Arabidopsis thaliana: one gene and its partners. The protein of the gene in region 2 interacts with the protein of the main gene of each other region in a biochemical or structural test. Each region holds a gene or a part of one and is shown on either strand. Other genes may lie near its edges.

Region 1 (11,420 bases), 5.4 Mb from region 2:
ATTTGAAGCCATTCAAGATAGGAACAAAGTGTTATATTCATCAAGTGGTGAATATTTTGGAGAGTCATCTTTCAAGTGAGGAGAAGAAATGGTTTTGGGAGCATCCACAGTTCAAACATTTCTTCCATATGCATACGGATTCAAATCACAAGGTAATGGCCATGTGGATGCTTCTTCTTCGCACCGCTTGTGTTGATAAGAAGAAGGAATGTTGGTTTGTTGTCAACGGTGTTCCAATCCGCTATTCTCTTCAAGAACTTGCACTCATCTCTGGTTTATACTGCCATTCTTATCCAAAAAACTATAAAGCATTTGGCAGCTTAGGGTTCTCTGGTAAGCATTTTGGTGTTGGTGCAACAGTAACATATGCGAAAGTGAAGACAAAACTACTCTCAATGAAGAAATCTTCGAGAGAGCGTTTGAAAATGGCGGTCCTATTCTTCTTATGCAGCGTCATCATTGGGAAGAGAAAAACAGGGGAAAAAGCAGAGGCTGTGGAAGATTTCTTTCTTAAATCCGTGGAAGATCTAGAATGGTGTAAAACATTCCCATGGGGTCGATTAGCATTTGATAAGAATATGAAAGACATTTTTCATCTCATGGACCACTTTGATGAAGAATTGGGCGCAGCATGGGTGTTTCCTAGCTTCGTGATGCAGGTATGTATTTTGAATGTGTTTATGATATATAAACTGGTTACAACTGGTATAACTTGGTATAACTACTGTTTGAATGTTTTGGTGTTGTCTGTAGCTTCTAGCGTTTGAGACCATCCCAAATCTAATGAACAACTTTAGAAAACATGTTAGAGAAGCAGATCCTGAGTGTCCTAGGATGTGCAAGATGAAGTTCAAACCTAGTAGTATGAAAGGCTTTCCTATTTCGGAGTTGTATGATACTCTTGGTACAACAAAGGTTAGAAATGATTTAATCGTATATTATTACCTTAAATTTTAATTGAGAGTATAGGATACAAATTGTATTTTTTTCATTCACAGGAAATTAAGAGTATCATGCTTCCATCTCCTAGTGAAAAAGAACTTTTGAAGCAAATCATGGATGATGAGGTTGGACATGATGATGTGGATGATATGATTGTTGATGGTTGGACGAAGCGTATAATTAAGGAAAATAAGCCAATATGTTTTGAAGAGCTTCATATCCAAGATGTTAGTAGCCGTGAGATTGAGGCAAATCCAAAGAATGCGAATGTTGTTGGGGTAAGAGTTGGTCGGAAAAAGGTGGCTCTGAAGAAGGTGAGTGAAAAAGGAATTGTTGAGCAGCTACAGAAGCAGTTGGAAGATGGTTTAAACAGAATATATATGAAGATTGATGACATGGATACAAGACTTACATATGTGGAATCATGTGTGAAGAATCTAAAAGAAGCTAAAGATACTAAAGGTGAGAAGGAAGATGGAGAGAAAGAGAAAGAGTTGGAAGAGAATGACTTGGAAGAAGATGAGACTGAAACAGATAAAGAGAAAGAGAAAGAAGATGAGTCAAGTGAGAAGAGAAGCAAGGTGGAGAGGATGTACGGGAGAAAGAGAACACGCACAACAACGGCAAAAGAACAAGAAGAAAAAGGAGAAGAAATTCAAGTCGGTTTTCAAGAAACAAGTGAAAGAGGCAGAAAAAAGGCAAAGTTGACATGGAAGAAAGTGGATATTAAGGGTAAGGAGTCAGATTTTGACAAGGACTAAGAAGAAGTAAAAACTTTTGGTTTGTGTCAAGACTTGGTTAATGTGTGTTTTTTGGTATTATTATCATCTAGGTGTAACTGCGGATCAGGGAAACTCGATTACTACTAACGAAAGGGTGGTTGTTGAACCGTCTTCGAAAGTGGGAAGTTGGAAACTTGCTTCTAATCTCAAGTCCACGCGGCAGTATAATGTTCAGTAAGACTCCTTACATGTGACCTTTCTTTTGTTCCTGCACTTTAAGATCTCAACTTTGATCAATATAATGGTGTGTCTACAGGGTGGGTTCTTCACTTCCTCCTTGCTCTATCTCTTGCGTTGATGAACCATTTTCTGTCTCAGTTTCTTGTAAAGGTAAGCCTTATGCTTTAATTTTGTATAGTAATATGTCTGTGCTGCAAAATCTTAAATAGTGTTACTCCAACTAACTGACATTTTTATAATTTCTACTTTGTTTATGGAACAGAGAAAATTGACAACAGTAGGAAATGTTTTTAGTTACAAACTAACCTGATTTAGAAGAGTACTTTTCTGTAGAATGATAATTTACTTCACAAGCTTTTCATATTTCAGTTAATCCTGGACCTTTGAAGCATGTTGTTGAGAAGTATCCAGAGGCTTTGGAGAATTTGCTTCCAGGTTCTACTGTTCAAAATTATATCTTGGAGGTAAAGGTCTATTTGTTAAGTATTGAATAATTACATCAAATCAAGCTATGTACAATATTTTTTATGCAGGTGTTCGATGGATATAATAACCATGTTGCAGAAGGTACCAATGTTCTGATATGTATTGAGGGCTATTGTATCAATGACTCGATGGGCTTAAACCAAAAGGTGCGAGAATGTTCTGTTTATCACTGAACAAGAATTTAGCAATGTTCTATTTACTCTTCTAAGTTCATTGATGATGTCACAGGTTAATAGTTGTGGCTGCATTGATCTGTCTGGAATACTCCAAGTCACGGCTGGCTATGGGAAAACTAGTAACATCTGCTACCATTCTTTTGTAAGATGTAATAATTCATATCTTCTTATTTTCTAATGTCTTTTTTTTTAATATGTAGTATCTCTCTCGGTTATGTCTGGTATTGATGAGATCTTCAAGAAAGAGTCTCAGACTGAGAGACGAGAGCTCATGCTCTTAACAAAGGTTAGTATATCTGTAACATAGGTTTGATTGTGTCAATGCAGTCTTAGTTTGTTTCTCTTATTCTGTCTTTCTCATTCTGAAATCGTTTGTTTTGATCAGCTGCCTGAATGCTGTGTTGCTGGTTCAAATCTTACAAACCTCATTTTTAAAGTGACGGATTCAGATGGTGTTATGGATACTAGTATCCATCATGATGAAAAATCTGGATGTTTCCATACAATGAGCATTGAAACTGATTCAAGCAGCGATGAGAGTGAAATCAGATATGCCTTTGTCCATGGTTCCTGCAAAGTTCCTACTCTTTCTCTACCTGAGAGGGAGGGTGTCTTTTCTTTCAAGGTTTTCCATTCTCGATTTCCCGAGCTTCATCTGAGCTTAAAGGTAGTAATGTTGTGGACTGAGTTATCTTACAAGTTGCAATATGTTTTTACAATGAGTAGAAAATGCCGGTTGTTGATAACATGTCCTCTTGATTTACAGATTCAGCTTACACCTGCTCAAATACTTCAAAGAGATGAGACATCTTATTCAAGGATGGGTTTAACACCTAAATCAAAGATGGCTTCAACCACATATTCACCGGCTCTCAGTAGCCAAACTGGCCCGAGCCTGAGGGATGTGGCACAGTTCACTGAGGTATATGGCCATCACCATTTAAGCCACAGATATTGATGTTTACATTTCATTTATGCCTAGGAAAAGCAGAACGATTTCTCGAATGATCTAACTTTTGTTTTCCGAGTTAACTTTTGAATTTTCCTGCAGAGCTTTAAAGAAAATCTTATTGGATACAGTGAACACAGAGTGGAAATAGATGAGCGCCTACATTGTTTGGAAGCTGAACAAAACCAGGCTAAGGAAGAGTTGCGTACCTTGCAAGGTAACTATTATCATTTGAAGAAGTTTTGATAACTACGATGGGGATTGAATTTGCATTGATGCTTACCTGCTCATGTTGCCTAAACCTTTATCTCAGCTTCTCTAGAACCTCTCGGTGCTATGTTCCCAGAATGCCTATCCACCAAAGAATCAATGATGAAACAGATTGAAGAGAAGCATCATGACACTGCAGCATCAGTTTTCTGTTGTTTGTACAGAAAGTCACCGCCTCCACAGTCACTGTTTCTGTCAAAGAAAGGAGTATTTGGCCTCGTAGCACTTCTTGGTTCAGTTGCCTCCACCTCCCTTAGCAGGTGACATAAATTTATACCCACAGTGTTACTACTGATCATAGTGGCCAAAACTTTTGTATCTGAAGTCATTTGGTATGCAGGGTGTTATCTGAATATTTGGGAGAAGACATGTTGCTCGCTTTGGTATGCAAATCGGCACAAATTGGACCTAATAATGCTGAGTTTCTCAGGCTTCAGTCCAATCATCGGTTTCATGTTCTATGTCTTGATGCAATCAGGTATTTGTCAACATATCGATAGCTAAACCTTAGAGTCGTTTCTGACAGAATCATAAGTGATCTTTTCAAACACGCAGACCTTGGAAGGATGGACTTTTGGAGAACGATCCTCAGAAGAAATTAGCCATGGATGACCCAAAGCTGCCCGATGGAGATCCCATACCGGGTTTCAAGGGCTATGCCGTGAACATGATTGATTTGGCTCCAGAGGAGCTCACTGTTCAAACTTACTCAGGATACGGGCTTAGAGAGACTTTGTTCTATAATCTCTTTGGGAATTTACAGGTATAGAGACCCAAAAGCAAGTTAAAGCAGCTCTTCCACACATCAATGGTGGTGGTGCAGTCTCTTTAGATGGTTTTATCGCAAAAGATAACGGATTCATATATTCCGGGTGCAGGTACTTGACCTTTTCTTGATCCTTGTATCCGTTTTAGTTCTTGAATTTAAACTGTAAAGCTCAAAACTCGAGTTTTATTCCTTGCATCTGTATTTACTGCGGATGATATGATTTATGGTTTTTGGATCAGCATACCGGAATTTCATTTCCCGATTACACTAAAGGAGGATGAAGAAGTGAAGCTGAGAAAAATGGAAGCAGCAAGAGATAAAGTGAGAATGGCAGCGAAGAAGATAGAGGAGGAGAAGTGTTCAATGCGTAAGGTAGACAAGAAAATGAAGAAAACAAATGAAAAATATCACAATGTCACAAACTCATTAGAGCTAATCCAGTCTCAGTCTTTAGAGTAATGAGAGTAAAACTGGACCTAAAACGATTCAAACAGTTTGTTTACCTGTTGGTTATCGGTTTGGTTTTTGTGTTTTTGGATTAGTCACTTTTGTTCTGAAATTTCATTTTCTTTTTCGGTTAATGGTATTTTGTTCACCAATTTTCTATTTCAAAAGTTTGTTTTTGATCTTGCTGCTATGATCTTTTTAAATAACTAGATTTTTTGAACCATAACGAACATATTATAAGAAAATAGCCATGGTAGCAAAACCAAACTTTTAAAATATCACCAATCCAACAGACAAAAAGAGAATACTAGTGGGCAAAAAGTGAAGGAAAATTTATCATTTCACATCGTAATTTTTTGTTTAATTGAAAAAGTGCAAATGAAATGATGGGTCAACTATAAATAAAATAAAGATTTTGTAATTGAACTAAGAAAATAAAACTCTGTGGATCATGACGAAAGTTAGAAAAGTTAGGCACATGTAGTTTCAGTGTTGTCATGTTTTTTTTTATGTAAGAGTAGGAAGCTCTCTTATAGGACGGGTATGATCAGCTGACAAGTTCCAAACCCTATAAAAAGTGATGTACATTGTGGAATCTGGTAGCTTGACGATGATGAATGTGATATATCTCTTTCATAGTTACGTTTTCATGGTAATTGTTAAAATTTTCATAAACAATCGAGTTCATTTTTATCGGAATCATAATAATTACTACAAAAATGAGCATACGTATAAATGTAATTATCAATCATCTGTAAGAAAATTTGTATTAGTTAGTTTAAGAAATATATTAGCGACTTTTTTTTTGGTCACAAGAGTGTCCATTTTATTTATATCAAACATCAAACTAAGGTCCAAGACAAACACATCAAGCGAAGGTGTAAGACAAAATTTCTTATGAAATATATAATTAACTTTTTTAAAATTGGTGTATTTTCAGAAGTGAATAATATTTTAGGTTATTTTTATATCAAAAACTGCCTCTCATATTTATAATTTTTTAAAAGATTATTTGCCAACAACCACCACAAGTGTCAACAAAAGGAAATTAAAAAGTGAGGTGGGACTTGAAAACAGTACTACTCTAATATTTTTTTTGTTTGTCATAAATAGAAGGTCGAGGAAACATTGCTATATAGTTTATAGTACACGATATAAAAATATATTTTCAAAACCGACATAACATCGGGATCCATCTGCGCATGGACGGACACAAACCTAACCCGATGTTGGGAAGCTCGTCACAAATTTGTTCTTCTATTTAAATAACTCTCATTTTGCCCTTTTCCTCTTCCAACACCATTATTCAATTATTCAAGATCGAGACAAGTGAAGAGTCGACAAGAACATATAGAGATTCATCCATATCTTGGTTAGTTATTTTTGATCTTATTTTTTTTGTTTCTTCGATTCACCATTGCTGAGAAAATCTTTCATCTCTATCCAATGTTTTTTTTTTCTATCACTTCCATGTTTTGGTTTTCTGTTTCGTAATTTTTAGTCCACCTCAAGATATATGTAAAGGAATTCACTGTTTTCCTCTCTCTTTTTTTCGAAATGGAGGTTTATGAGCTTGAAGTTTATCCCATCTTGGGTTTTCTTCAAGAAAGAGTCAAAATATGTCCGTGTTTCCAGGAATCTTCTGATAAGATTTAGTATAATTCGGTTAAATATTAGAAAAAACAAACAAACCAAAGCAAAACCATTCTTTAAAACTGACTCAATTGAGTTCTTTAGTGCTATAGACTGAATTGAACCGTTTGATTTTTGTTTTTCTTCTAATTGAGTGTATAGTTTCCAACATTCCATTAATCATTCAATGGAATTTGGCTTTGGTTTTGGTTTCAATCGAAATCAAGTTATTTCAGATTAGAGATTACAAATTGGATCATATCCGGTTTGGTCCATCTCGGTTCGATTTTGGTGGGTGTTTAATTAGTTGGTAGCCATTAGATATTTAGAACTGTTTTTTTGTTTCTTGTGTCACTTTTGGTGATTTAGAGTCTAAGGAGAGGAGATGGCAAATTTGATTTCTTACTAAAAATCAAAGACCACACCTAATAAACTTATTTATAGCAAATAAATTATAAAAGTCAATAGCTGCAAGTTTTTTTTTTTTTCATTTTTACTATTTAAATACTTATAGAGAAAATAATTAATTTTAAAACGTCATATTGCTGCGTGGCCGGTTTGATTAAACAACATTTTTGTTATTAATTATACAAAAAGATCGCGAGAAGTAAACAACAAGATGAAAATACTGCTTCTAAATTAGATATGTCTAAGTTTGTTTACACGACGTACATTGAGTATGATTACGTATAGATCTAAAAAACAGGTAATGAGAATTTGGAGGCTCCACACATAACAAAATCAAAATGGTCCATAAATTAATACATTAATTAGAAATGTCATAGAAAAGCCAAATGCACCAAAACCTTCCTTAGGCATTAGTTGATCATTATTAATGATTCATTAATTAACCAACTAGGCTCATGTAGTTTTCAAATATATACTATATTAGATTTGAGGTTCCAAGTTCAAGATTCGCTTTGCCTGGTCAAAGACAGGCTCTGATATGTACCAAATTAAATGCTAGTATGGTTGAGGATTTTACGTGGCTTTTTTGGAACAAAACGAGATTTAAATATACTATATAGTCTCTAGATATTAGTGTAAGTGTAATCAAGCCCTTTTTGTTTTATTTATTAGTAAAACACATATAAATTGCCTACATTGAAAAAAGCAACAAAAGGTTGTCTCAATCTCGTGATTATTGATTTTTGATAAAGCATCACTTTTTAATGTGGTCCCATGGCCATTCATATTGTAACTCTTCTCTTAGTTCTCTATCCTTTTCGTTCAAAATCCATTCTAGTCTCTCTTCACTTAAAAATGTACTCACCAAAACAACTTAAATCATGTTGGGTCTGATTGGTAACACAAAACTTTAGCTGTTAGCTGGAGCGGTAAACTGTTACGAAATAGTACAAAACTGTCTAAAAGAGCTGTACAGAAAAGTTTAGAATAAAACTTTTTGTAACGTTTTTGATAAAGTTTTTTTGAATGGTAACTGTCAAAGTTGTACAGTTTGTACAACTTTGATAATGAGTTACCATTCAAAGCCGTTATTTATTCAACCTATCCGGCTTCTTATTATGTTCCTAAACTTACGACATGGTTGTATTACTCGCTTAAATGTGTTCTTGTGATTGAGTTGGACATAGGTTCAAGCTTATTTGGAAAAGAAAAGAAAACATCTTTGTAGATATTTACTAGAGTACATTGACTGATTCATGTATATACGTGGACCAACGTCGATTAGATTTGATATTGATCCGGTATTTGTATTTATGTATTATCTATATGTATGCATATATCATAGGAGACTTTGATCATTTATCTATGTTATTAGGGATAATAAAATTAGGAGTAAACTAATTATCTCTTATATCTATACACCTAGTCATTAGCGTGGCTAATACGGCGACTTGCCTACACCTTCTGTGAATTATATAATATTTGGTTTCATTACGTTTATTGTGAATCATTACTAAATTATAGATTAAATAGGGAAAACGCTGTTTTTGTTCTAATTTTGGCTACTTCTGTTAATGAATTGATTGTTTAGGGAGAGCTTACTAGCTGTCGTGAAAGCTACAACTATTTTAATGGCTAACTTTGCCACCTATATCCTATGTATTTATTATGTAAAAAAAAAAATGTATAAACCAATGACATAATCGTTCGTATAGCCGTCGACTTCTATTGTATATTTGCTCAAACGTCGACCCTTTCAAAATTTTAATATCGATGTTTGTCAAACTCTTGCAGATTTTGATGAATTCGACGCTAGATTGCCTTTAACGAAATTCAAATGTTACATATACATAGACGATATATATATACATGCATTAGATGTACATGATTAGTGCTCATCTACATTAATATTTCATGTATGTATATGTAATTAAATATTGAATTTCATTAGAAACATTTTGGTAATCTCGTGAGTTTGCCAAAATATGTTTACTTTGTTTGAGTTTGACCACAAAAAAAACACTAGAAAAGTCAATAACGTGACAAACTAAACAAGTTGCCTATTATTAATTGCACTCGATCTTAATTGGTTTGTTCTAGGACCATTTTTAGTAGAAGTAAAACCAGCGAAAACGAATGTAGGATTCAGTCGAAGGGTGTTTTATAAAATCATCAAATTATTAGGAACAATGAAATATCTGTAAATTAACCAAGATTATTTGCGTTTGGTTGTAGCGTGAGAAAAGCAAAGGCTAATAACAGTTGAGAGAAGGGTGTGTTTGTATGGGCTGCTCTGTATCGAAGAAGAAGAAGAAGAATGCAATGCGACCACCGGGATATGAGGATCCCGAGCTTCTTGCATCCGTCACGCCATGTTAGTTTTTAGTTTAAAATCTTATTAGTAAGACAATCTTTAAATGTTACAATAGCATGTTGTAGAGTTTGGTAAACTTTTTCAAATTTTATTTTACTTGTAATGGGAGGGACAATAGTCACGGTAGAAGAAGTGGAGGCTTTGTATGAACTGTTCAAGAAGCTAAGCAGCTCAATTATCGATGATGGTCTTATTCATAAGGTTTCTTCTTTCACTCTAAAAGGTCCATATGTAGACAGCAATTAGGTAATCTATATAGCTTAATTAGAGTTTAAAAGTTTGATGTTGCAGGAAGAATTTCAGCTGGCTTTATTCAGAAATAGGAACCGGAGGAATCTCTTCGCTGATCGGGTACATATAGTAACTACCTAGCTAGAACAAGTGACATTATTGAAAACATATGTAAATTTAAACAAAGTTCTGTTTTATAATATGCAGATATTTGATGTATTTGATGTGAAGCGAAATGGAGTGATCGAGTTTGGTGAATTTGTCCGGTCCTTAGGTGTCTTCCATCCAAGCGCGCCGGTCCATGAAAAAGTCAAATGTCATTCTTCTAGCCCCAAAAATTGTTTCATATTCATTCTATGTGAATTTACTTGATATTCTTTTCTTAATTGGCTAACTAACAAAGAATTTTCTCATGAATTTGCAGTTGCTTTCAAGTTGTACGATTTACGACAAACTGGATTCATCGAGCGAGAAGAAGTGAGTCCATTTACGGATACTTTGTTTTGGTACCCTCCAGATTAAACAGTTTTACTCCACTAACGTTTATGTGTGTTGATCTAACATGTATATACCATAATGAATTACATTTTGATTAGTTGAAAGAGATGGTAGTAGCGCTTCTTCACGAATCCGAACTAGTTCTTTCCGAAGATATGATTGAAGTAATGGTGGATAAGGTAATCACTCCCACACCGATGCACATTTGTTTACTAGATATTAATTCCAATACTGAAGATGATATGATAAAGAATTTATAAGGAAATGGTGGTATATATTTGCAGGCTTTCGTGCAAGCAGACCGCAAAAACGACGGAAAAATCGATATAGATGAATGGAAAGACTTTGTATCCTTGAATCCATCGCTCATCAAGAACATGACTTTGCCATATCTAAAGTGAGTTCATAATTTACACCGTGACCAACTTTGATCCAAACCAACTGCTTTGATTGTTGCATTGAATCAAATTGACTAATCAGAAGATTCTTGGTAAATGTAGGGACATAAATAGGACGTTTCCAAGTTTCGTTTCATCTTGTGAAGAGGAAGAAATGGAATTGCAAAACGTATCTTCCTAATATAAGCCATGCAAGGAAAGATAAATATACATAAAACGAATATTTTTGTACAATATCTTAAAAGAGGAAGATAGAGATGTAAGCTAGGATTTGGAAATAAACCGATCTTGATAACGATATTGGACTTGCCTTGTGTACTGTATATATTTAGTTATTTACATAGCGACTCTCCATCTCACATACATAATTACTAATTAAATATTTACAAATCTAGTCTATTATTGCTTCATTGTTGTATATACCAAAATATATGATCCACCTTTTGCGGATATTCATATTTTTGTTACATGAAAATATTCGTGTTTTTTTTAGAATAACAATAAAAAATTTGTACACACATGGTTTATTATTGTAGATAATATTAATATATATCAAACGAAATTTTAAAAGTAGATGATTTATGAAAATAATTTTTGCTTATTTTAATTAGTTCTTGAGTAAAATTATTTATACATTCTAGATATTAAATAATGTTGAATTTTTAATTGAATAAACACTTTATTATATATAAAAATTGAAAAACAAAGCAAGCCGAGGAATCTCTCTCTAATCTATCTCCAAGACGGACCAAACCAGTTTTAGTTCTATCTCTCAATCTCTCTGATCAGCTCCATTTCCAATGTAAGCCCACCAACTTCAACTCTAATCTCCATCTTCCTCTTCCTCTTCAAATTCGTTTAGTTCAACAAGTTCCCAT
Region 2 (3,600 bases):
ATATAATGAAGGCGAAGCACAAACCTCAATTCCATCAAAAACTGCACGAATATCATCCAAATTCACTTCTTCTTCTTCCCTTGCTCGTATAGGCACATAATTTAATCTGAACCAAGGATCTTTCTTGATTCCTTGAATTTGAATACGCTGCTCTAATTGAGAAACAATAATAGATAAACAGATATAATTACTAGAACATTAAATATCACCAAAACCTGATAGCTAGGAGAGAACAAAGCAAAATACTCACTGTTTTGGGATTGGGGTCAAGTATCCTATGTATTAAAAACTTCACTTCTGCGGAAAACCACGGTGGACAAGAAAACTCTGCTGCATTTATCTGTAAATAACAATGTGTAAAAGCTCAAAACTAAGGGTGAAATTGCAAAACCAAATCAATAAACGGTTTGACAAAAGCCATGACAAGGAATTCATGATTTCTTCCCGAAAGATATGTTACTTACTTTTCTGTACAACCCTGGAAGATCCGTCTCGGAAAAAGGTAAATATCCAGCCAATATAACGAAAAGAATAACCCCGCAAGACCAAATATCAGCTGCTGAACCATCGTAACCCTGTCCACTAAGTACCTCTGGAGCTACATAGTTCGGAGTTCCACATGTGGTACGCAGAAGTTCTACTCCCTGATTGAGTATATAACAAGTTAATGACCACGTAAGCAGACTGCTGAAGCAGAGATAAGAGCACTTACTTCCTGAGGCAATGCACTGAGTCCGAAATCCGAAACCTTCAGATTTCCATTTGTATCGAGTAAAAGATTTTCTGGCTAGATAACATAACATAGCGACACAAAAATATCAAGTCTGGATTGCAACGCAGTGAGATATTCTGAGGAATATTGGTAAACAAAAACACGTCTTTACCTTTAGGTCACGGTGGTAAACACCCTTGCAGTGACAATGAGCAACAGCATCTACAAGCTGTTGAAAGTATTTCCGAGACTCACTTTCTTCAAGCCTCCCTTTATGAACCTGCATGAAAGATTTCATATATTAAAAAATTAAGTAGAGAGGTTTTAACTAATGGACGCTGCCTACAAGTATGGAAGTTCCGTACAATTCTATCAAAGAGCTCTCCTCCTGTCACAAACTCCAAAACTATATATATTTTCGAAGGACTCGCCAACACCTACATCGGGAAAATCACAAAAAAACAACAGAAGAACAATGATGCAAAAACACTTCAGAGATAAAATTTCGCAGATGCATGGAAACAAACAAACATACCTCATACAACCTCACTATGTTCGGGTGACGAACAATCTTCATTATAGATATCTCTCTTTTTATCTGTAAAAGAGCTTTAAACGAAATCAAAGATCATACCATTGACGCAACAACCTTAGTTTCCATGTAAAAAACAATCCAGAACATACCTGATCAACCATTCTGTTCTTAAGTATTGTACTCTTAGCCATAATTTTGATGGCTACATTATCACCAGTGTCTGTGTTCCTCGCAAACTTAACCTTAGCAAAGGTTCCTTCACCTATTGTGCGACCAACCTCGTACTTGCCCACTCTTCTCATTTTCTTTGTCATTCTTTACAAACTTTTATCTGATCCATTGACCACAAGCTATCAATCAGATTATTCAGAGACTTAGTAAAAACCTCTTTCCTTAAACGTTTATGATTTCGATTTCAATTACTTTACGTATTGTTTGCTAATTTTAGCTCCTACACATCCATATATACAAAATTACTCTGTATCCATAATTTTGATTTCGCAGCATAAATCAACATAAATTCGATCAAGGAAACGACGAAAAGGTAAGGATCAAGATCATAATCAATATATAAAATTCGTACGGCTGGAATTGCGATTGGGCGTAGTCGAAAGAGAATCGTGAAATACCAGAATTGGATTCGCAGAGAAGGGTTGATGAAAGAGGCGTAGGAGAGAAGGAAGGCTCGTGATGCGATTCGCGAAAGCCGTGAATCGTCGATGCGAACGTCCGTGCAGATCCGTTGAGCATTTCGGGTCGGGTTATTTGACTGTACCCGTATACGACCTGAATTAGTCGTTCGGGTCAATTATCCGTTTGGGTGATTAAACTTTTAAAAACTAACATTGCATTTTGAATCTTTCAATTTAATAATTGTGAGGTTTTCAAAATTTAAAAAAGAAAAAAAAAACTAATCTAATATCACTTATCAATTTAGTAAATTATTTTTAAAAAATAAACATATAGTATTTTCAAAATTTATTTTAATTTTTTTCAAATTATCTAGACTATGATTAATCGAACTCAAATTAGTAAAATTTTCTATTTTTAACTACAAATTTTTAACTTCATTTAAGTCAAGCAAGGTTCAAAAAAACCAAGAGAACAAGGATGTCTAAGTTTAAGACAAAGCATACAAAGATACTTTCCAATGCTACAAAGTGATATATAAAAAAGTTCGATAAGGATTCGTGAGAGTTTGGAAACAAACACTAGGGAAAAATTTGGCGTAAGTGATAACACGGTTTATCGACGGTTCATTCACAAAGCAATGGTCAAAAAGATGGTCACGGTCAATATACTAGGTGATGTTGAAGAGGCTTTTATGGCCTAGATTTTCGCCGGCACGAGAAGAGCTTCATCAACAAGGAAGAGGACTATGGTTCTATAGTCGGTTGGGATTTGCTTTAAAGGTTCAAGATCTTTTTTAAAAAGTTTGAAAACTTCTTGATAGTCCTATAGTCGGTTGGGATTCACATTAAATGTTCAAAAATCATACATACAAAGTAACGATGACAATGTCAATGAAAAATTGGCAATGAAGATGATAAGAAGGAATACAAGAGCAAGAAAATAATGAATGTGAAGAGAAATATGAAATGTAGGTGTTGGTGGCTAATTGAATATAAGAAAAAATATTGATAAGAATGAAAAAGTATTACAGTAATATTTTTGCATTATTAAAAATAAAAATAACTATACATTAGTACTTTTGCATTATGTTTTTTTATATAAATAACGTAAATGAAACTTACAAAACAATTCCGTTAAAAAGTTATCAATAGTAATTTTTGATTATTAACTTATGATCATATGTAGGGGTGTCAAAATGGGTCAAAATTCATGGGTCAACTCAACTCAACTCAACCCATGAACCCTAATGAGTTGAAATTTTTGACTCAAATGAGTTGATGAGTCAAATGAGTTGATGAGTCAATTGGTTTGATGAGTAAAATGAGTTAGGTTGTAATGGTTAATGGTTTCCATGGTTTATCCAATTAACCCATCAAATTTTGTAAAATTGAATAAAACCAACTAAAATCTCTAAACCAATGCCAATTTAGGTTTAACCAACACATCTAAACCAATTTAATAAAATTAATATTTTTCCAAATTTCTTAAATATACAAGCAATGAAATTGAGAAAAAGTAAACTCGTAATTTTTCCACCAAAAAACATAAATCCGTGATTTTCCCGCAAAAAAAAGTAAACCCGTGATTTTCTCGCAAAAAACGTAAACCCGAGATTTTCCCGCCAAAAACGTAAACACGAGATTTTCCCGCCAAAAACGTAAACCCGAGATTTTCCCGCCAAAAACGTAAACCCGAGATTTTCCCGCCAAAAACGTAAATC
Region 3 (11,420 bases), on a different chromosome or scaffold from region 2:
CTAGGAACTATAGTACCGACTATTAACTGAAGCTGGAATGCATCTTTAATCATGCCTACGATCTTAATCAATAACACTTATTAATGTTAGACTATTAGACCCGTGCTCATAACTTTTGGGTCCTAGGCGAATTATAAAAGTTACTTTTTTTTGTTGTCTGATAGTCCAAACAAGAACTTGTAATGCTTTTTCTAAAATGAAACAAAATGTACGTTGGCTATGGAGCCTATCGACTCCAGCACCAGCAGATGCTTAATCTACTCCATAGACTAGAGCGCTTTTTATCTGAAGTCGTATAATTTCCCAAGTCATTTGGCTTAATTATTGTGTATCAACTTATACTATATGCTACTGATGTCTTGCTTAGAATATTATACAAGTTCATTGACTTAGAATTATATATAGGCAGACTAAGCAAAATGGGAATAAATGATCACAGAGGGCATTAACTAGTTCACTGAGGTTCAACAATCTACTTGATCTTAACTCCTTTCGAATTAATATAGAAGTCGAGCACTTGAGGATCAGAAAACACACATTCATTCTCAGTGTCTGAAGCACTTGAGGGTCAGAAAACACACATTCATTCTCAGAGCGGCGTATAATTTTAAGATGTCAATCGCTCTTACGTAAAGATCGATAGCCATCCACCTAAACATATGCAATACTCCTTCTGTGAACAAGAAATTTATTGATAAAACCAAGTGTGTTAGCAAGTTAATCTTTACATAGAAATCAAGGACTCACTCTTAATGACCAGCAAAGTGTGTTAGCAAGTTGAGTGACCAGCAAAATTCTAACCCTAAAAAAGTAATGTAGAAAGCAAGCCCTCATTATCACCTTTACCGTGACATTTGGATTTCCATCTCTATCACCACCCATCCAGGAACCAAACTTTAGTGGATTCATTGATGCAATGCAGATAGAAGAAGAATAGAAGATGATGCAATGCAAGAAAGACATCCCTTGAGAGAGCCCAAACCATTCACCTTATTCCAATACATTAAAAGGTGTGGTTTTTCCCAAAAAAAAATTAAAGTAAATTTTTACTTTTAGAAAATTGGAAAGAAAATTTACAAATCAGATAAATGAGAATTTACAGCTCAATATTTCCATATCTTCCAAATATTTTCCATAGATTTTATTTTATTGGAAAAAGTATCTTCTTAAAATACCTTGAGAGGTTGTTTAGACTTTCTAAAATTTATTGGAAATTAATCTTAACCATATGCTTTAACTTTTGTTATTTACCTCGACGGGCCGATATTATATATATAGCAAAATTTGATTTTCGTGGAACTTATAGGCTTCTCTGCTGATCCAGAAGGAGATGAAAGTGATGGATAAGAATTTAGGGTTAGAGGAGGTTCAGAAACTTGAAGGTCACACTGATCGTGTTTGGAACGTCGCCTGGAATCCCGCCGCTGACGGTGTTATTGCTTCCTGCAGTGCCGATAAGACCGTACGAATCTGGGAGCAGAGTTCTCTTACTCGTTCCTGGACCTGCAAGGTCTCTCTTCTCTCTTTCTTTCGAATTTGATGTTGTTAGATAATGTGTCACTAATGAACATGAAGCCTCGTGATTGGTCAGGCTGTTTTGGAAGGCGCGCACACAAGAAGTGTGAAGTCGTTAGCTTGGTCACCGTCTGGGAAGTTTCGATGGCAATACTTGCGTTTGGGAAAATTTTGCTACTGACTCCGAGTCTGTCTCTGTTTTACGGGTACTAAATGTACTATCTCAAAGGCCTATCCTTTATGTGTTTGTTGACAACTGAAATTTATTGTAGGGCTTTGATGTCCCTCTGGGTTTCTTGACTTTTTAAAATCTCGTGGAATTTTCTTAGGGACATGAAAGCGAAGTCAAAAGTGTATCATGGAATGCATCTGGTTCGTTGCTTGCAACTTGTGGTAGAGACAAGTCTGTCTGGATTTGGGAAATACAACCAGAGGAGGACGATGAATTTGATACTATTGCAGTGTTAACTGGTCATTCAGAAGATGTTAAGATGGTCTTGTGGCATCCCACCATGGATGTTTTGTTCTCTTGCAGTTATGATAACACTATCAAGGTTAAGAGAACAATGCTTCAAATGTGCTTTCATGAATTGGTGTCATATCTATGCATAAGCATTTAACTGCAATGCTTGTGTTTCTATTAACAGATTTGGTGCTCTGAGGATGAAGATGGTGATTATAATTGTGTACAAACCTTAAGTGAACTTAACAAGTATATCCTCTATTTGTCTCTTCTTTACTTCTCACATGTTGAAATTTTCCTACCTTGATGCTATTGTTTTCTTGATATTTCTTTTATGCGTTTAGTAATATATGTTGCCTTTAATCTTCACTCAGTGGTCATTCTTCTACCGTCTGGAGTATCTCTTTTAATGCTGCAGGGGACAAGATGGTCACTTGTAGGTTGGTGAATCTTCTCCCCATTGTTTCGGATAGGAGATTTCATCTCTGTTACCTGGTCTGTTAACATTTGGATTGTCTGAACTTTGCAGTGATGATCTAGCAGTGAAAATATGGAAGACAGATATTTCAAGGATGCAATCTGGTGAAGGATATGTACCCTGGTGAGGATATAATGGCATTCAATTATCACTTCATAGAGTTTAGCATATACATCTTTCCTCTTTTGAAGATGTATTTTTTGTTATTGTATGGTCTATAAGTTTGACATAAGATACATGCGGTTGAATATTCTTCATTTGCTAGGGATTTCATGTTCTAACTTGTAGCTAATGAAATATTTACGTGCTTGATTTTTGCAGGACTCATGTTTGTACACTCTCTGGTTTTCACGATCGTACCATATATTCAGTTCATTGGTCAAGGTATAGACTTGTTGTCACTTTTGAGGGATTTGAAAGAAACAATTGTAAAGTCCTACTATATTCCCATGCCAACCAAGAAGATGATTTCTTACACCTGATAAATGCACTTTTTTAATCTAGTTCATTGATCAAATAAAGCTAAATTAGTAATAAGCTTTGCTGACCAATATTAATTGTCTTCTATGTGTCCTACTGGATAGATCGACATAAGTTTATGATAAGATCTGATACCTTGATAGGGACGGTGTTATTGCTAGTGGAGCAGGCGATGATACTATACAGTTATTTGTGGACAGCGACAGTGACTCTGTATGCCCTTGTCCCTTTTACCTATAATCACAAATCCCTCTTTTAGTATCATTTAGAAAATATCATTAACCATATCTTGTCCGGTTTACTTCTTGGCATATGCTCTGTGTCATCATTGTAGCACAACACAAGAAACCAAAGCTCATGGTTTCTTGATTGAATTTTTCGTTTGCTTTAGACTCTAGCCAGTGATTTTTCATTACATACAATATACCTTGTGTACAGCCAAATTGAAAAGCTGGTCATCATTGTGTCAGGTTGATGGACCTTCATACAAACTTTTGGTTAAGAAGGAGAAAGCACATGAAATGGATGTAAATTCGGTCCAATGGGCACCTGATGTAAGTTCATTTCCTTTCCTAAGGAGTAATTGGCTAAATATGTAAACAAATGCAGGGTAATCTTACTCGTATGTTGGTACTGAGTTTGGTTCATAAAAAAAATTGAAAGCTTGATTTTCTTGTTTAAACTAGTTTTAGCATATACGGCGAATCATCTCTTGCTAAAGATTCTGAAATCGAGATTTGCATTGCAGAAGGAAAGCCGGTTGCTTGCCTCGGCCAGCGACGATAAAATGGTTAAGATTTGGAAACTTGCCTCGGAGCCATGACCAGACGGATACATATTCTTTTAATTTGTTGGTTTCTAACTTAGTTAGAATTTCTATTTCATTGTTTAAGTAGGAGGAATGTGTTCTCTTAGTTAGATTTTCCTTTAGTATACACAGAGATGCAGCTTTGCTTGTCAAAAACTAGAGAAAGGATATCTCTATTTAAATTAAAAAGGGTCGCCTGAATTTTCAGCCCTATACTAACATTCCACCCTAAATTTTTAGCCACTTGAAAAACCACCATAAACAATTTTAATCTCGATAAAACTACATGTACTTTCGGATTTGTTCTTAAAACTACGCCTCCAATTGAACCGACCAGTTAACCGATAATTATACATCCGGTTTGACTTACCCATAATTTATCCAAAACTAATCCGATTTTGACTCTATTTTAACCCAATTTATACCCAAAAAATATATTCTCTAGAAGAAAAATACTTTTTATTTATTTTTATTTATTTTTGATAAAAAATTAAAAATAAATTAATTAATTTTACCAAAATAATAAAATAACAAAATATACCGCAAAATAATATAACAAAATAGACAACAAATTCTTTTTATAAATACAATGGTGTTATATATATAAATGTATTTGGTATATACTCTAAATTTAATAATTCAAAAGCCATTTTCTTTTTAAAAACACCATAATCATATATAAATATATATATATATATATACATATATAACTCATCTTGAATATATAAAAAGAAAACTGAATCTATAAAGAAAAATAAATTTATAAATACCATAAGATATACTTTGATTGTGGTGTTTATGGATATCTATAAAAATAAATTTGGCATATATTTTGAATTTTATTACATATATAGAGTTCAAAGGTCATATATTATGATTTCAAGAAAAATGAATATTTTTGTTTAAAAAAAGACATAGCTTTAAATTTATAAAAAAATATAAATGATTGCCAAAAGGAAAATGTATATGTTTGTATATTATCAAAATTTTATAACAAAATGTAGCTCAAAATATAATTTGGGGTATATTTTGTCATATTAAGTTTTGCTAAAATTAAGTAATAATTTAATATTTTTAATTGTTTATCACAAATACAAATTAATAAAAATACTTTTACTTCTTAATAAGACAATTTATTTACATTTTGTGTGGGTCAAAATTAGGCTAAAATAGAGTCAAAATCAGATTAGTTTCGGTTAAATTAGGGGTAAATCAAATCGGATGTATAATTATCGGTTAACTGGTCGGTTCAATTGGAGGCGTAGTTTTAAGAATAAATCCGAAAGTACATGTAGTTTTATCGAGATTAAAATTGTTTATGGAGGTTTTTCAAGTGGCTAAAAGTTTAGGGTGGAAAGTTGAGATTCCAACTAGTATATGGCTGAAAATTCAGGCAACCCAATTAAAAAGAAAGATTATGAGTTTTGTTGAGAAGAAAACACGTGCAATAAAGAGCTTTTTGGTTTCTTCTTTTGTGTTCACTCTGGAAAAGATGTTTCAGAAACAGAGGAATTGCAGAGTGTAGCACACCCACTCTTATTAGCATCGTGCAAACCGCAAAAAAAAAAAGATCCTTAATCTTTTGCGTCGTCTAATCCACTTTGTGTATGGAAATATTGGAATGGCTAAAGTTGCTAAAATTAATCAATTAGCTCTTCAACTATAGAGTTTGATAAGACATGATCGTCATCGACTAAGTTGATCCATGACAACTGGCCGACCAAATAATATTTTAGCATTGAAAATTTCTACTGTATATGTATTTTCAAAATTACATTCAATGATAGGATAGTGACAAATATTAATCTGAAAATATAACATTGTCTATTGTTTTATTTCTAAGTTGAATGTAATTTTGAAAATACATATACGTAGAAAATAATATTTTAGCCAATAAAAACTAAAAAGCTCTATATTTATTCTTGTTCTTTTTTTTCTTCTTCACCAATATATATGTTTACCAGTTTAGCCATTCCATAATATATTATTTTGTTTAAAAAAAAAAAAAAAATCAAATGGGGACCACCAAGGACGGTACATTCATTTGATTTTAGAGAATGGTTCAAATGACGGATATATTAGCGTGACATTTTGATAAACTGAAAAAATAATAAGTGAAGCAGAATCAAAGTTGCCACTTAGTCCGGAAGACTGTGATTGTGATTTTGAATGAACTCATGGAACAAGTTTCCTCTGTAAATTTTTCTCACTACTTTGATTTCTCATTTCTTCTCTGATTTTGTCTTTTTGTAATGTTCTTGTTCTTGTTTTGTTTTGGTGAAACAGAGATCAAGCTCTCTCACTGTCGGAGAGCAATTCTGCGCCGTCTTTATACCTTTCTTTGCCATTATCGATGTCCTAGTTTCCTCCGTCGGACAATGCTTCGATTGCCGCAGCACATCGCCTCGGACATGTCAGCACGCGGATCTGGAACGTCTTGCTCGTGAATCTCAATGTTGGTTTTCTTTTTGTTTTTGCCTCTCTCTCTCTCTCTCTCTTTCATTTCATGTCCAATGTGTTGTATACGTTCTTGGATCAATGCGTCTTCGAAATGACTCTGTTTGGAAGTTGATAAGTTTGAAAAGTTTGTTTCTTTTTTGCAGTTTCAGTCAATGAAGTTGAAGCTTTGTATGAGCTATTCAAGAAATTGAGCTGTTCAATTATTGATGACGGCTTGATTCACAAGGTCTGTTTTTTCTCTCTCAGATATGTCTAGTTGGTGAATTTTTCATAGGTTGATGATCATCACTTGACTCCTTTTCCTTTATGTGTGTGATTCATTGCTTTCAAGGCATTAAGTTTGCTCTTTTTAGATGATAGTTATCTCTCATTATAATTTATGGTTATGAAGAAATTTGATATTTCTGGTTTCCTAGGAAGAGCTTAGACTGGCGCTGTTCCAAGCTCCATATGGTGAGAACCTCTTTCTTGATAGGGTGAGTGGCTTCTCATGGTTTCTTGGACTTGTTGAGATGAAAGTTTTTTTTACTTTATATTGATTGGTGTTTTGCAGGTTTTTGATTTGTTCGATGAAAAGAAGAATGGGGTTATTGAGTTTGAGGAATTCATCCATGCACTCAGTGTCTTTCATCCCTATGCATCAATCCAGGAGAAGACCGATTGTAAGGATCAATATTACTACTAATATAACTCCTTGGATGATCTCAAGCATATGCTTTTATTATCTGTGACAGTTGCATTTAGGCTCTATGATCTAAGACAAACTGGATTCATTGAGCGAGAAGAGGTAAATAATAATCTGCCATTGCAAGTTGCAACCCTTCTTTTCAGCTTCATAATAAGTTGGACTTGTTAGGTGCAACAAATGGTTTCTGCTATTCTCTTGGAATCTGATATGATGCTATCCGATGAACTTCTGACCATGATTATTGATAAAGTGAGTTCTTGAAATCCCATCTCTCTTAGTGTGATGTATAATATTTTGGTAAATTTAGTTAGCACATGCTTCTTTTCTTTCTCTACTTTGTTTTTGCTAGACATTTGCTGATGCAGATTCTGACAAAGACGGTAAAATTAGTAAGGATGAATGGAATGTCTATGTGCATAAACATCCTAGCTTGTTGAAGAATATGACTCTTCCTTACCTAAAGTACCAAATCCTCTCTCTTTTTTAGATTAGCCCTTCCATTTAGGATTTCCTTTACTTTATCATCAACCATATCTGTATTTGAATTTGAAGGGATGTGACGACAGCATTCCCAAGTTTTATATTCAACACTGAGGTTGAAGACTGAGGCACAACTGTCCATGCAACACCGGTCATCTTTTTTCTGCTTGGTCCTGTAATTCGAGTGAGATTGTCATAGCGCAAGAGCAGAACGAGGAAAGAAGGTTTTCCTTATTTTATTTTAAGCCAACGTAGTTGATGATTATTAGCTGTAAGTAAAATTGTCAAGCACTTTGCTTTGTTTTGATGACTTTACTGTAATTGTTCCATTGAAAGTAATGAAGCATTTTTCTTTTCATCTTGCGTCTATGGCAGTATAGTTGATTTAAGTCTTGATTCTACCAAAGTTTGTGTTTTGTTTTCGGTCAATTGTGGAATATATAATTTATAGAAGATGTATTCGAATGAAATAATAGAGTAAGAGACAGAAAGCGTATAATGAGAACACTATGGACAGAATGTGAAAGAGAAGAGTGCGTGGTGAGAGAAAGGGACACAACACAATGGGACAGAGCAGTAATCAAGCAGACACTGCAGCTGCGACTTGTTCTTCCTCTGGGAGGAGAGTGCACACCAGTTTCCTGTCTCCATATACATTGTCCACACGCCCTGTTCCACATTTCAATCATTTGTCACATATCAGAATTCCGAAACCAGAATAAACTGAATCGAAAACCAAATGTGCAATCTATATCTTGGATGGTCTAATACCTGTGGTGGGCCAGAACTTGGAGGAGCGGAGCCAAGGCGCAGGGAAAGCAGCATACTCTCGAGAATACGGCTTTTTCCATGTGTCTGCCATTAGCAACGATGGGGGATGTGGAGCTCCCTGAGAAAACAAACAACCACCAACGTATGAATCTCAACTTCTCCGAACAATATTATTATTGGATATAATTATGATAAGTCTTTGTTTTCCTAATTACCTTGAGAACGTTGTTCTGGACATCTGCATTTCCTTTTTCAATCTGTGCAATTTCTTCCCTGATTGAAATGAGAGCATCGCAGAACCTGTCTAGCTCCGCCTGCAAACGAATATTATTTAGTTTCATCAAGTTGATACACTGAGAGAAGAAAGAGTCAATGAGAGATCTGCATATATCCATATTTACCTTGCTTTCACTCTCGGTTGGCTCAATCATAAGAGTTCCAGGGACAGGCCAAGACATTGTGGGTCCATGGAATCCATAGTCCATTAGCCGTTTCGCCACATCCTCTGGTTCTATTCCAGCAGTGTTCTACAAATTCATATTTGAATCGGTCAGTGATATGCATACCCAAAACAACTACTTTAATTTCAGTTCACAACATTTTCATACCTTGAAGCCTCTCAAGTCTATGATGAATTCGTGTGCTACTGTTCCGTTAACACCACGGAAAAGAACTGGGTAGTGTTTCTGTAAAAACAAATCAAGAGGAAAATTAGACTCCTTTCATTCTCAAAAGATGAATAGGTAAATAGAAGACAAAGATGTTCTACTACCTCTAGGCGCTTTGCCATGTAATTGGCATTCAAAATTGCAATCTTAGAGGCATCAGTGAGCCCACCAGATCCCATCATGGCAATGTAAGTATAAGATATAGGCAAGATAAGCGCAGATCCCCATGGTGCAGCGGATATTGCACCCAAAGGTGCTGTCTTCTCGGGTTGTGGGATACCACCAGTCGGTATCTGTATACATGGAAATGGAAGAAACAAAAAATTAAGGAATTAATCATCAATCACCAAGAAACATAAAAGTGATGAAGGATAAAAGACTAACCACGGGGTGAGAAGGAAGAAATGGTGCCAAATGATTCTTCACACCAATGGGACCCATACCAGGACCACCACCTCCATGAGGAATACAGAAGGTCTTGTGGAGATTGAGATGGCACACATCCGCTCCAATAAAACCAGGGCTCGTCAAACCAACCTACACGTACCCAACACCATGCTCTTACAAATTAGAGAAAATTCAAGATCTCTGTGTTCTGTTTTAGTAAGATATTTCACCTGTGCATTCATGTTGGCACCATCCATGTACACTTGACCTCCATTTTCGTGTATTATGTTGCAAATCTCGTCGATGCCCTCTTCATAGACTCCATGAGTTGAAGGGTATGTAACCATAAGAGCAGCTAAGTTGTCTTTGTTGGCTTCTGCAGCTTTTCTCACCTCCTCAATGTTAATGTTTCCCTTAGCATCAGTTCCAACTGTAATAATTTTCATCCCGCACATAGCAGCACTTGCAGGGTTTGTACCGTGTGCAGAGACAGGTATGATACACACATTACGGTGATGATCTCCTCTTGACTGAAAAATGCATTCATTCATTCACTTTTCAGCTTAATACAATTGAATAGAAGATTGTTAGGTAGAATAAGATCCAAATTTAGGATAAAAGATGTTACCATGTGATATGCGCGGATAACCATAAGCCCGGCATACTCACCAGCAGCACCAGCATTAGGTTGCAACGAGAAAGAGTCAAACCCAGTGATCGTACACAAGAGGTCACCCAAATTTTCGAACATTTCCTACATACATGTGGACAAGATATCAGTTCATTGTTCAACTTTCTAAATCAGACCTCAGATGAATCAAGAAAGTCACTAACCTGATAACCTTGTGCTTGTTCAACAGGAGCAAAAGGGTGAATGTCAGTGAAACTTGGCCATGTGACTGGCATCATTTCAGTTGTTGCATTTAGTTTCATCGTACAAGATCCCAACGGAATCATGCTGTGGCACAGTGATAGATCCTTTGACTGTAACTTGTGGATGTACCTAAGCAACTCATGCTCTGTGTGGTACCTAATCATATTATCAAAATGGAAAACAAAAATGAGATACTGCCAATCCACAAGTAATAAGCCACTCAAGATTCAAAGAACAGAATAATACATGTTGAAGATTGGGTGGGTAAGATAAGGACTCTCTCTTGTTAGGCTAGAAGGAATGGAATTCTGAACCTCGGGTGCTAGAGATTCAGCCGTAAATGGAACCTGAAGCGAATTGAGATAGTCAAATTTCATGCAAGGATCCTAGAAATGATATATCAATAACAAAAAGAGGTATGAACAACACTCACAGGCTTGCCAGAAGCAAAAACTTTGAAAAGTTTATCGACATCATCCAAGGTGGTTGTTTCGTCAAAGGAAGCAGTAATCTGAATTAAGTAATCATATCCAAATATTCAAATCTGTATGATGCTATGAGAGTAAAAACCTTGAAAGGCCAAAGCAAAGGAGACTCACAGTGGTTGAGTCCACAACACGCAGATTAATTTCACTTTTGGAAGCTGCATCAGCAATTGCATGTGCATCCGAACACTTAATTTTAACAGTGTCAAAGAAAGGAAGTTCTTGAACTTCTGCAACCCCAAGCTTGTTCAACCCTAAGGAAAATATACCAGCGAGACCATGGACACGCTGGGCAATAGATTTTAGACCTGCAGGTCCATGGTAAACAGCATACATGGCAGCCATGTTGGCAAGCAACGCCTGCAGGAAAATGAAAAGATGAAGTACTCATCAACATGAATCAACATATCATCTAGTTATCTGAACGAACTAATAGTGAAAAGTGAAAAATGAGTAATCAGATACTAAGAAGTAATTACTTGAGCAGTACAGATGTTGCTAGTGGCTTTGTCCCTCCTAATATGCTGTTCTCTAGTCTGCATAGCCATACGCAGAGCTTGCTTTCCTGAAGAATCAACACTAATACCAATAATCCTCCCAGGCATCATTCTCTTATACTCTTGTGAAGTAGCCAAGAACGCAGCATGAGGACCACCATAACCCATCGGAACACCAAACCTTTGAGCAGAGCCAACAACAATATCCGCCCCAAATTCTCCAGGAGGTTTCAACACAGTCAAAGCCAGCAAATCCGTAGCCATCACAACCTTAACACCATTAGCATGAGCATTCTTAACAAACTCAGCATAATCCAAGACTTCACCTTCAGTACCAGGATACTGAACAAGAACCCCACAAACATC

The links.
Region 1: the proteins of SOS2 (region 2) and SOS3 form a complex in vitro, tested with the Arabidopsis thaliana proteins (3 studies listed by BioGRID, with this or other methods).
Region 3: of the proteins of SOS2 (region 2) and CBL10, one has a biochemical effect on the other in vitro, tested with the Arabidopsis thaliana proteins (6 studies listed by BioGRID, with this or other methods).

Annotation. Positions count from the first base shown.
Region 1 is NC_003076.8:8,238,084-8,249,503, reverse strand, and holds SOS3 (Calcium-binding EF-hand family protein), read left to right. Parts: upstream 1-6,060; 5' UTR 6,061-6,373; exon of another isoform or gene 6,374-9,276; 5' UTR 9,277-9,324; coding exon 9,325-9,415; exon of another isoform or gene 9,416-9,517; coding exon of another isoform or gene 9,518-9,533; coding exon 9,534-9,616; intron 9,617-9,693; coding exon of another isoform or gene 9,694-9,706; coding exon 9,707-9,766; intron 9,767-9,853; coding exon 9,854-9,962; intron 9,963-10,070; coding exon 10,071-10,123; intron 10,124-10,242; coding exon 10,243-10,323; intron 10,324-10,428; coding exon 10,429-10,541; intron 10,542-10,644; coding exon 10,645-10,723; 3' UTR 10,724-11,021; downstream 11,022-11,420. Other genes in the region: AT5G24275 (En/Spm-like transposon), read left to right, coding at 835-915, 999-1,674, 1,775-1,898, 1,981-2,054, 2,274-2,368, 2,438-2,536, 2,619-2,685, 2,767-2,852 and 6 more.
Region 2 is NC_003076.8:13,632,894-13,636,493, reverse strand, and holds the start of SOS2 (Protein kinase superfamily protein), read right to left. Parts: upstream 2,096-3,600; 5' UTR 1,877-2,095; intron 1,579-1,876; 5' UTR 1,562-1,578; coding exon 1,397-1,561; intron 1,311-1,396; coding exon 1,248-1,310; intron 1,150-1,247; coding exon 1,078-1,149; intron 993-1,077; coding exon 885-992; intron 788-884; coding exon 713-787; intron 645-712; coding exon 465-644; intron 341-464; coding exon 251-340; intron 148-250; coding exon 25-147; intron 1-24. UniProt on the Arabidopsis thaliana protein: Involved in the regulatory pathway for the control of intracellular Na(+) and K(+) homeostasis and salt tolerance.
Region 3 is NC_003075.7:15,918,900-15,930,319, forward strand, and holds CBL10 (calcineurin B-like protein 10), read left to right. Parts: upstream 1-5,449; coding exon 5,450-5,497; intron 5,498-5,819; exon of another isoform or gene 5,820-5,921; coding exon of another isoform or gene 5,922-5,939; intron 5,940-6,030; coding exon 6,031-6,199; intron 6,200-6,347; coding exon 6,348-6,430; intron 6,431-6,620; coding exon 6,621-6,680; intron 6,681-6,757; coding exon 6,758-6,866; coding exon of another isoform or gene 6,867-6,889; exon of another isoform or gene 6,890-6,938; coding exon 6,939-6,991; intron 6,992-7,060; coding exon 7,061-7,141; coding exon of another isoform or gene 7,142-7,153; exon of another isoform or gene 7,154-7,241; coding exon 7,242-7,354; exon of another isoform or gene 7,355-7,444; coding exon 7,445-7,499; 3' UTR 7,500-7,729; downstream 7,730-11,420. Other genes in the region: AT4G32990 (Transducin/WD40 repeat-like superfamily protein), read left to right, coding at 1,331-1,510, 1,635-1,721, 1,845-2,069, 2,163-2,227, 2,353-2,418, 2,508-2,579, 2,778-2,840, 3,080-3,149 and 2 more; GLDP1 (glycine decarboxylase P-protein 1), read right to left, coding at 7,953-8,041, 8,144-8,261, 8,359-8,457, 8,545-8,670, 8,752-8,829, 8,916-9,104, 9,196-9,348, 9,429-9,728 and 6 more. UniProt on the Arabidopsis thaliana protein: Acts as a calcium sensor. CBL proteins interact with CIPK serine-threonine protein kinases. Binding of a CBL protein to the regulatory NAF domain of a CIPK protein lead to the activation of the kinase in a calcium-dependent manner.